2 linked regions of the Arabidopsis thaliana genome follow. The main gene of each other region encodes a partner of the protein of the gene in region 2 in a complex. Each region holds a gene or a part of one and is shown on either strand. Other genes may lie near its edges.

Region 1 (5,962 bases), on a different chromosome or scaffold from region 2:
GTGAAAGACCAGACGAAACTGGAGAGCTCGATGTAGAGAAGAAAGAGAGATCGCCAGCAGAAGACACAGGAGTTGAAGTAGCTTCATGGCTTCTTCAAGAGATTGAAAAAGGTGGAGTTGTTGATTCAACACACCAGGTACGTTTTAAAATTTGAAAACATTAACCATAGACACCAAGATCGATCAGACTTTAAGTGGGTGTGTTGTTGATTCTCTGAGGTTTTTTACAGGGATTGTTGTTTCTACTGTGTGCGTTATCTGAACAAGACGTGTCAAAGGTTCGAGTTGGAACATTATCTCCATATGCAGTGGAGACGTTGAGGAACATTAAGGAGTTTCTGGGAGTTAAGTTTGCCATCAAACCTGATCCATTGACTGGGACTGTTATACTCAAGTGTACTGGAAGTGGCTTAATTAACCTCTCCAGAAAGCTCTCTTGATTTCTCACTCACAGTCACCTTTTACAATTTTGTCTGAATGAAAGCGCTTTTCTATAATTTGAGTGGATGTGTATTTTTGACCTAATCATAATGGCAATTTGCATTTAAATTTATGCATTTTTTACTTTAGATCGACCCTTGTCTGATATAAATTTATGACTATTATTTGTTTACCTTAAGACATATCCTAAAAGAATACTTAATTTATAAGGATACAACTTGTATACAACAGAGAAGCAAAGAATGGGGCATGAAGTATTTTTTTCACTCTTTCTGTATACCTTTTAAGCTCAGGCTTGTCTGGTAAAAATGGCACTCAATTGATCTCCTGGGATGAATTTTAAAAGGAGAATCACAAAGCAGAGAGTTCGACTTCTTGAGTGGAAGGTCGATAAGCTACGAATGTGCTATCAGTTGAGAAAGAGCCTGGATTGAAACATGTTGTTCCCCCAAATTTGCAAACCTCTTGCTCACTCTTGTCACCTAATACTATCTGTTTTGAAACAACAACAATACTTAGTTATAAGGCGGGTTTCGTGCAGGATTTGATATAGAAATGAATACCGTATGAGGAGTTGGGTACAGTCGAAGAGCGTGATCGTAGTTCCAAATGATGGGTTGCACCATGAGAGGTAGAGGACATAGATGGCTCTGATGAGTTATTGTGTAGACAAGCTGTAACAACACGTTTCAGGAGTTTCCATCATTTACCAGGAAAACTTTTAAATCATACGTAAGAAAATAACAGAGACGAGAGATGTGTTTACATGCTTAAAAGGGTCATTCGTTTCTTCTGAGGAAGGGGTTACTAAGCATGAACGACGCATCCGATACAGAAGATCTTGTCGGAAGAACACAATCTCTTGGTTATAGAACTTTACTCTGCATTTTACAAAGACAAGATTATGTGTGGCAAATGTTCACAATTCAAAAGAAAAAGAAAAAAAAACTAATGATGAGCAATAGAGAGTTCACACATCGTATAGAAAACTCACCTGCAAGGATTGCTTGAAAATATTGCATTGGGAATAATGTTTCGAAGCTCTTCGGTTAAATATTTCGGTAAAGCGCATCTTGGCAAGACTGTTGAGGGACCTGTCAAATATGATGAGATTTTATAAGTCATGTTACCTCATGGATCTCAGTTAAAGATTATTTACATAGTAATGGTGGTGATGATGGTACCTGCGTCCTCAGGACCTGGAATGAATAAAAACCGACTATTTTCTTTAAGCCGTGGATGGTTTCCAATCATTCTCCCAAGTTTACCAAACTGCTCCCTGCGAAAGAAATGGACACAGGTTATCGACAATATATAAGAAGAAATTCCCATTTAACAATTGAAGATTCTAACTACAATGATCCCTTACCTAAGGCTTGAATACGAACCAAAGGATAAGTTGCATGGGCGAGAACAAAAATTTCCCATAAAAACAAACAAGGAGGGTACTGTCTCCACACTTTCAAAACCGTCAAGAACAGTTTCCAGCTTCCTCATAACCTTCTCTACGGACAACATATTGTGGCGATCAAGCAATGTCACAAAATATTGATGCTAAATAGAGTACTTGGTACACCAACTCACCTCTTCGTCGTCCAACCATATGTCAGACAATATGACAAATGTGTCATTCACCGCTTGTCTTTCAAGGTCTGCAAGTTTAATCTGTTGGCAGGCAAAAAACACATTATTTTTAGTGTGGTTTACCTACTATGTAAGGGATTGCATTGAAAATTTACAAAATTCTCAATCCGAGTACAAACAACGAATCAAAGATTACCATCTCTTCTTTAGTTAGTGTGCCGCCTCCGAAGAAATCATATTCAGAATGCGCCTTTAGTGTTTTGTCCCTGTCTTCTAAGGGAGGAAATCCACATGTAATCACCTTCACCACAAGATGAGAATACACTTTTAGAAGAGGATGAGTTGGTCAAAGAACATATTATGAAAAACTGAGCTTTGTTACAGGCAATCTGATCAAGTGTTTATTGGAGACAGGTGTACGTATGTTTTGTCACAGAAAGGACCCTATACATGACTTAGTTCTATGATCCTTCATATAGCTAATAGCCTAATATCTTGACCCCAACATGAAAAATAAAACAAAATCGTAAAATCTATGAATGTGCACCTCAGCAAATTATACAAATATCTCCCTAGTTAAAAAGTAATTAACTCAGAATGGGGGAGAGAAAGGCCCAAAATTGCCACCTTCAATTCTAATTACCTGAAAGATACCGTTAACCTGCATTTCGCCTTCTGCCAAAATTATAGTATTCTCTGTGAAGAATCCTGTTGTTATCTTGTACTGATTGTCAAAGAAAACTATTCAAAGCACAAAAAACTCAAACGCAATTCCTTCCTATGTCTTTATCAGCATGAGACATTAAACAATATGTTGAAATGCTATGTCCAGTTTTTGCAGATTTTAGAACCAACTTAAAAAAAGGATATTGCTTTGGACAGATCAATCTCTACAGAAGCTGAAAGGTCTTCCAGGTAGAAATGTCCATCTTCCAACTGTGATATCACTCCCATCACCCATTTCCTTCCCCTTTGAGAAATCAGAGACTGGATTGAAGATATCTACTAGACATAACACAGTACAAACTCCTTAGTTTAGTTTTGAACACAAAAATAACCCAAAAGAAAAATGAGAACAACCACATTTGACAGAAAACGTAGACCAACCTCATTGTTCTCAAACTGCGACATTTCAGCATCAAATGCTGGCCTAGAAAAATGCTCTGCACGAGAAACTCTCTGCGACAACAACATGAATCGTTCCCTGTATAAAGCTGTTTTTGCAGAAGCCTCACCGTGAATAGGCAAGCTACTCGTATGCCTAGTATCAATTAAAATTTACTTCAATCAGTCCAATTCTACAATCAACAACGCGCAAACGACCATTACAATTCATCACTATAAAGTTCCATCATCTACCACACATAAACCCTAAGCCACCTATCAAACTCGTCTCTAGAAACTCACTAGACACACTCTTAGTAGGAAAATTAGAGTGGACTTACTCGTTGAACTTTTTTTTAACAGAATCATATCCAAACTTTGGCACCAGAAACGCGTCGATGATCGCCAAGGAAGAAGCAGATGTTGTAGGTTCCTCCGGGGCGTTATGAGCTCCTAACAAGCGATTTATCAATCCTCGAACTGATTCCGCGTCGACAGTGGATGATTTATCTGCAACATTTTTTACAAAATACCCAACGACTTCAGAATCGATGTCAAATTACGCAGAATAATACGAGAGAGAAACGAATTGGGCGGCATACGCGTTTCCTGGAGGTTATCGAGGAGAAGATCTATAGCTTCTCCGTCATCGTCGTCGGGAAATTGATCGGCGAAAACGAGAATCTCGTCTAAGGCATCGAATTTGAGGTTGTACCCTCTGTTTTTGAATTTCTTCTGTATCTTCTTCCTCTTCTGACTGGTGCTGCTCATTCTCGCTACTTCTCTCTTTTTGCTCTCTCTGAATCTGCGAAACTTTTTTCTTCTCTCTTTAATTTCTTTTTGGGCGGCAAAACTCTGAAAAATCCCAAATCGGCGGGAAACGAATGTGGAAGAGCCCTAATCGGTGGAAATTCTTTGTTCTTTCGCTAATACGTTATTTACATTATTGCCCCTCTACCTAAACCGGGTGGGTCTAGAACTTTGGATAATATTATAATAACGGGTCCAGATTTCATTTCCGGTTAAAGCATTTTTAAACTGTTTAAATTTAATACACAAAAACACTACAAACAACCACTAGCAAGTAGCAATGCTTATAAGGGATCACTCAAGTGGATTGAGGTTGTATATACCAATAAGTAGACACACGAAATATAGCTCCGGTAAGCTGGAAAATTGAGCAAACCAAACTGTATGGTTAATGTCAGTCATCTCCCCAAGCATCTTCCCGTTGTTTCTGTCTCGAGACAATCCGGTTTTTCCGGGCAGCTTCTTGGTCTCGCTCTTTAGACCCGAATCCAGAAGCCGGTAGCTTCAATCCCATGCTGTGAGCAATCAACCGTTGAGCTGTTTTCGCTGATGTCTTTGGTCTTTGAGACGGCGGTTCCAAATCTGAAGTAGAAATCATTTAACATAACATAGTTACACATATGTGTTTTGGTGTTTAATTAATTACACAGCTTGATCAAGCGGATTAAGGAAAAATGGTGTGTTAAAGTTCATAATTTGATGACATATAGAAGTGAACGAAATTAGAAAAAAATTTGGTGGGGAAGCTTATATCTGATTAAAAGAGGGAATAATTTTGCAGAACCATAAAAAAGGAGTAGATTACCTTTTCCAGAAATTGAGCCCAAAAGAGAATCGTTATCATCGAGTACACGTATTGTGAATGAACATTGAACATGCTTGCAAGCCTCTAGAGCTGTATCAATATTCAAAACACACAGCGAGAGTTAGCTGTATAGGAGAAAGTCTATCCTGATTTATAACTTAGTTAGCAACAAAGGCAGAAGTTACATTTTTAGCTGTAAAGATACTAAACCTACTTAACAACTAAGCCGTGCATTTTACGTGGTTCAACCCTAGATGAAGACCAATGCACTATCTAATAACACAATGCAACACTAGAACAGAGAAATACTAATGCAGTAGTGGGATAAAACTAAAATTTTTCCTAGTTAACCCAATGCATGTATGATGAAAAATCAAATTACATATATATACCAGCTGAAGGGGTTTTGAAGACTGCAAGTGCTGTTGTATCATTGACCCAACGAATGATAAATCCACTATCTTTGAAGTCTTTAAATAGCTTCTCCAATTCAGTAGTTCTCAAACTTGGAGAAAAACCAGCAAGTACGAGGACATGGCGTGTGCCATACTTGGCTGCATTTAAAAGCGTATAGAAATTCAGGTGTTGTATTTAGAACAGGCAGCATATAAATCATAATCAGATTTATCTAACATACTGCTTCTACTTGTTACAGATAATACAATCCAAAAAACAGAAAGGAAACATTGAGAGTCACAACTTACATTTCAGTGATTCATCAGTCTTCTCTGACTCACGAGATAAATCGTTATCTTCTGAATCATCATCAAACCTCGACTCAGAGAAATCTCGATCACTGTACATTGCATCACTCTTATAAGTAAACGTTCCCCTTCCACGTCTCTTAGGTCCTTGAACTTTAGGTTCTTCAACCGAAAGCTTTGATATTTCAGGCAACTCTTCTACGGGGAGTAACTTACTCGGTTCAACATCTGCAAGAGCTTCCCAATCTGCAACAAAAATCAAGGTCATGTAAACATACACACATACATGATCTCATGATTGATACAAGAGGTCAATGCATCTGTTAAGTCACAACAAATGTAACATACCATCATCTGAAGAATCATGAGCAGCTGAATTACTGCTAGATACTTTGGAATCCTCCGTTTTCCCTTAATAGATCCATGATAATCGATCAATAACAGCGTAAAAAAGGAGAAATCAGATAGAAAACAAATGAGAACTCTAGAAGAACAACCATCAGCATCAAAGCTT
Region 2 (4,952 bases):
TGTAGCAAATATTTCTGATATGAGTAGAGAAACAACATTAATCAACTGGTGGAAGACACTAGTCAACTACATCACACAATGAGGAAGTCAGACTTAAACTAATAATAATCATAGTATGCTTTACTGACTTACAAGATCAAGATCTTCTTTTTCAACAATCTCAATATCAGCAACTTGTCTTTCATATCGGCGTCTCAAGTAGGCTTCGAGTTCCAATTCCATTTTGTCCTGTAATTTGGCATTGCAGTTTATTGACATATAAAATGAAAATACATGAATGATTCAAGGAGAATTCCGATAATGTCCAGAGAGAAACTATCATACTTTCGTGGCTGCATAAAAGTAAGGACGGAACTTGTACTTTGTCTTGAAAGAAAAGCCGTCCTGAAAAAAATCCTCAACTCAGTTAACTATTTAGAAAAATGCAACAACAAAAATATAATCGTTCATCAACTTATACGAAGCTGACATAGTAATGAGTAATGACCATAATTATAGCAGCTCACCTGAGTAACAAAGTAAAGGTCCACACAACTATAGACTTTCCCAGTATCGCGATCTTCCCAAGATGACTGCAAAACGTAGTAGATTATCCAATCAGTAAATACTAGTACTTTGACATTACCTAGAATCCTAAATTCTCGCACTAATGGAGTTTCATTGTATGGTTCAGTCGCCAATGCTTATATTTAATTTACAGAAATTCACATATAATCGAATCCGAAACCTACTCAAATACTCTCAATTAACAAGGTTGAGTCCAGATTAGAGTGTCGGAGAACTTACCGATGAGAATGTGAGTAACCACCCAAGTCGGGTTTCACCTTCAGAGAAAAGCCCAAATCCGAGTTTAGATTCGAGTTCATCTTCCGCAGTGTTCACTACCTTAGGCTTCTTCGACCACCGCGTATCCTTTCGATCCCGTCTTCGATTATCTCCGCTCATTTTGCGGCGATTATAAATTACGCGGGACAGAGAGAGATTCCTATATAGAGAGGAGCTTTATTCCTGGAGAAGCTTTGAAGGAGAATTTAGGGTCAACAAAAGGGCTTTTACTGGTAGGGCTTCGTGGATGCCGGAGAAAGTGAGTGAAAGAGTAGAGAGGAAAAAAAAATCTTTTATCATTTTCCCGCGCTTTTGGTATTGGCAACCAAATCACTGATAAGCCCCTCATTTTTGGACTCTAATTGGGCCTATCTAAAAGCCCATCTTTATCGCATTTGCATTTTGGATTTCGAACACAGCCTTTCCATTCGAGACGATGATGACAAATTAGGATTTCTAGCTCGAGGCGAAAACAAACTTCCTTCTTGTAGCTGTAGGTGTTCTCAAGCTCCGACTCACAAGTCACAAGTGTAGACTGTCTCCTTGAACTCGAATCACCTCCGGTAAAGTCTTAAACACTCTCATATCTCAATTGGGGTATGGAGAAAATCGGTTTATGAAACCAAATAACTTAAACCGGATCGGGTCGAATTAATTTTCAGTTAAATGCCGGTATGGTCCATACGACTGTGACTTGTAAGGTGGTTGTGGTAGGTGGAGAAGTGACCACACAAACGAACTACCCCAGGAAAACATGTTTTTCTACATTCTCGACTTTGCTATTTCATTGAGCTTGAATAACCAATTTTAAGACGCCATTGCTAAAACATGAAAGCTCTATCATCTTCTTCTCCAATATTAGGTGCTAGCCAGCCGGCGACGGCGACTGCGCTTATCGCGCGATCTGGTCGTTCTGAATGGCAGAGCTCCTGCGCTATTCTAACAAGCAAGGTTATTTCTCAAGAAGAATCTGAATCCTTACCTGTGCCTCCAGTTTCCGGCGGAGTTGATCATCTCAACGGCCATAACAGCGCCGCCGCACGAGTTCCAGGAATGAATCTTGTTCCGATTGAGAAATCTGATAGCAATCCGTTGGTTCCACAGCATCGTCATAATCCACTGAAACCCCTTAGCATGACGGATCTCTCGCCGGCTCCGATGCACGGATCTAATCTACGCGTCGCTTATCAAGGTGTTCCCGGTGCTTACTCTGAAGCAGCCGCTGGTAAAGCTTATCCTAATTGTCAAGCTATACCTTGCGATCAATTTGAGGTTGCGTTTCAAGCGGTGGAGCTTTGGATCGCAGATCGTGCTGTTTTACCGGTGGAGAACTCTCTCGGCGGTTCTATCCACCGTAATTACGATCTCCTCCTCCGTCACCGTCTTCATATAGTCGGCGAAGTTCAACTCCCTGTTCATCACTGTTTACTGGCTCTTCCCGGCGTTCGTAAAGAGTTTCTCACACGTGTGATCTCACACCCTCAAGGTCTCGCTCAGTGTGAGCACACGCTCACAAAGCTCGGACTTAATGTCGCACGTGAGGCAGTTGATGACACCGCAGGAGCCGCTGAGTTCATCGCCTCTAACAACCTCCGCGACACAGCCGCTATCGCGAGTGCACGCGCCGCCGAGATATACGGGTTGGAGATTTTGGAAGATGGGATTCAGGACGACGTGAGTAACGTGACGCGCTTCGTGATGCTGGCGCGTGAGCCAATCATACCTAGAACAGATAGACCGTTCAAGACTAGCATTGTCTTTGCGCACGAGAAAGGAACCAGCGTGCTTTTCAAGGTGCTCTCTGCTTTCGCCTTCAGAGACATTAGCTTGACGAAGATCGAATCGAGGCCGAATCACAACCGTCCGATCAGGGTCGTGGATGATGCCAATGTCGGGACGGCGAAGCATTTTGAGTACATGTTTTATGTTGACTTCGAGGCCTCGATGGCGGAGGCGCGTGCTCAGAACGCGCTTGCCGAGGTTCAGGAGTTTACATCGTTCTTGCGGGTGCTTGGGAGTTATCCCATGGATATGACTCCTTGGTCACCAACATCATCAACTTCATCGTAACCATACTATAGTCTATACACACATGAAAATGTAAATTTTGGAGAAGATAACAAAGTTTTATATTTACTGATCCATTCTGTTTGGTGTTTTACATTTGATTGAATTCGTATAAATCAATAAACAATTGGTAAAAATTTAAACTAAAATTCATAGAACATTGATTTGGAAGTTTTGATAACAGGGGAAAAGTTGTGACAATATGGTGGAGTTGGTAACAGAAATAAGGGTTTGGGGACAATCAATCATTGTGGTTTGTATGATAATTTCGTGTTGTCCTATTGGACCTGGGGTTGATAAACCATCGAGTCCAACAAGAACACAACATATGTACATATGTTTGGTGTATGCAAAATGTTGTCTTTTCAAATTTTCAGAAAAGATTGTTAAAAAATATAAATGCGTCTGCCGGGAGTCGAACCCGGGTCTATTGCTTGGAAGGCAATTATCCTAACCGTTGGACTACAGACGCTTTTGCATATCGAGCAAATAAACTATATATACATATAAACTTTGGATGTTGAGGTTAAAGTGAGAAAGATTTTAAAATACATATATATAGATATAATCTATATATATATTTTTGCATCCATTTTGTGAAATAAATCCTGGAGTTGAAACTTATTTACAATGGCTGTCACTGGCTTTTAATTATTAGTTTTTTCAGCAATAAATTGATTAACAAACGAAAAACATTCCAAATATATTTCAATCCCATATATCACGCAGATTTTTCCAAAATTTGAACTAGATTTCAGCAACTATTTAAAACAAAAAATGTTTGACAACCCAAAAGACAATTGCAATCCCTTAAAATGAGCAAACGCAACTAAATACATTTCTTATCAATTCACTAAATCTTATTTCTCCAAAATTTGAACTAGATTTCGACAACTATTTAAAACAAAATTTTGTTTGACAAACTAAAACACAATCGCAATCCATAAAATATTTATTTTAATTATAAATTTCAACTAGCGGGGTACCGCGGTTTTTTTTTACAGGACGGGTTTGGCAGAACGGGTTTGGAAGGACGTTACTTAATAACAATTGTAAACTATAAAATAAAAATATTTTATAGATAGAGATAATTTGCAAAATTTTATATATACTAGTTTAAATAAAAAAAATTATCTCCGCGGTGTACCGCGGGTTAAAATCTAGTCTATATATACATTTTTGCAACTATTTTGTGAAATAAATCTTGTAGTTGAGAATTATTTACAATGATTGCCACTGGATTTTAATATTTGTTTTTGATAATTAGAAAAAAAATCTTCGAATTAAATATTTGACATTTAATAAATTTTTTTAAAATCTCTTTACATTAACTACACGATTGGTTACTAAAATAAAACTTTCAAAATATTTAATATCATTTAATTACTACAAAATTATCATTATTGATATTGTTTTTCTTCATGACTATTACAATTCAATTATAATCATCAAACCGCAGAGATATTTGATAACATTTAATTACTACAAAATTACAAAATATTTAGACAATGATTCATAAACATATGATAAAGAAGATCAACATTAATAAAATAAATGAGCTTTTTTTACGGGATGGGTTGGCGGGACGAGTTTGGCAGGACGAGTTTGGCAGGACGAGTTTGGCAGGACGAGTTTGGCAGGACGTTACTTAATAACAATTCTAAACTATAAAATAAAAATATTTTATAGATAGTTACATAGATTGTTACAAATTACAAACTTTTATATATACTAATTTTAAAATATAAATTGTCCCTACGGTATATCGCGGGTGAAAATCTAGTATTATTATTATTAACCGAAAGAAATTTCTTTCAATTTTAAAAATTCTGTCAGTTATAATGAAAATGTAAAACTGTAATAAGGATTTAATATACATATTAACATGTTATATTGATATGTTATTACTATTATCCAATTTGCTTTTTCTATTACTGTTTGTTGGATGTATTGAAAATTTAAGATTGTCTCCAAAATCGATTATTTTGAAATTATATATAAAAAATAAGATTTAAGAGATTTGTTTCCAAAATATTTTGAATTCTCCATTTATTTTCATA

Evidence for each region. The genes of interacting proteins can lie anywhere in the genome.
Region 1: TIL1 (region 2) and DPB2 share a complex: the UniProt entries of both Arabidopsis thaliana proteins name them as parts of the DNA polymerase II.

The regions. Positions count from the first base shown.
Region 1 is NC_003076.8:7,330,279-7,336,240, forward strand, and holds DPB2 (DNA polymerase epsilon subunit B2), read right to left. Parts: upstream 4,005-5,962; 5' UTR 3,901-4,004; coding exon 3,732-3,900; intron 3,640-3,731; coding exon 3,471-3,639; intron 3,287-3,470; coding exon 3,133-3,286; intron 3,028-3,132; coding exon 2,896-3,027; intron 2,747-2,895; coding exon 2,669-2,746; intron 2,327-2,668; coding exon 2,222-2,326; intron 2,107-2,221; coding exon 2,026-2,106; intron 1,942-2,025; coding exon 1,811-1,941; intron 1,721-1,810; coding exon 1,626-1,720; intron 1,536-1,625; coding exon 1,436-1,535; intron 1,323-1,435; coding exon 1,208-1,322; intron 1,116-1,207; coding exon 1,005-1,115; coding exon of another isoform or gene 957-1,004; intron 934-956; coding exon 793-933; 3' UTR 547-792; downstream 1-546. Other genes in the region: AT5G22100 (RNA cyclase family protein), read left to right, coding at 1-137, 231-440; AT5G22120 (coiled-coil protein), read right to left, coding at 4,334-4,521, 4,745-4,834, 5,137-5,298, 5,449-5,694, 5,797-5,859, 5,946-5,962. UniProt on the Arabidopsis thaliana protein: As accessory component of DNA polymerase II participates in chromosomal DNA replication. Required for the timing and determination of cell fate during plant embryogenesis and root pole development, by promoting cell cycle and cell type patterning.
Region 2 is NC_003070.9:2,586,937-2,591,888, reverse strand, and holds the start of TIL1 (DNA polymerase epsilon catalytic subunit), read right to left. Parts: upstream 3,036-4,952; 5' UTR 2,896-3,035; coding exon of another isoform or gene 1,654-2,895; 5' UTR 946-1,653; coding exon 787-945; intron 573-786; coding exon 507-572; intron 385-506; coding exon 325-384; intron 229-324; coding exon 133-228; intron 1-132. Other genes in the region: ADT6 (arogenate dehydratase 6), read left to right, coding at 1,654-2,895. UniProt on the Arabidopsis thaliana protein: DNA polymerase II, which participates in chromosomal DNA replication. Required for the timing and determination of cell fate during plant embryogenesis and root pole development, by promoting cell cycle and cell type patterning.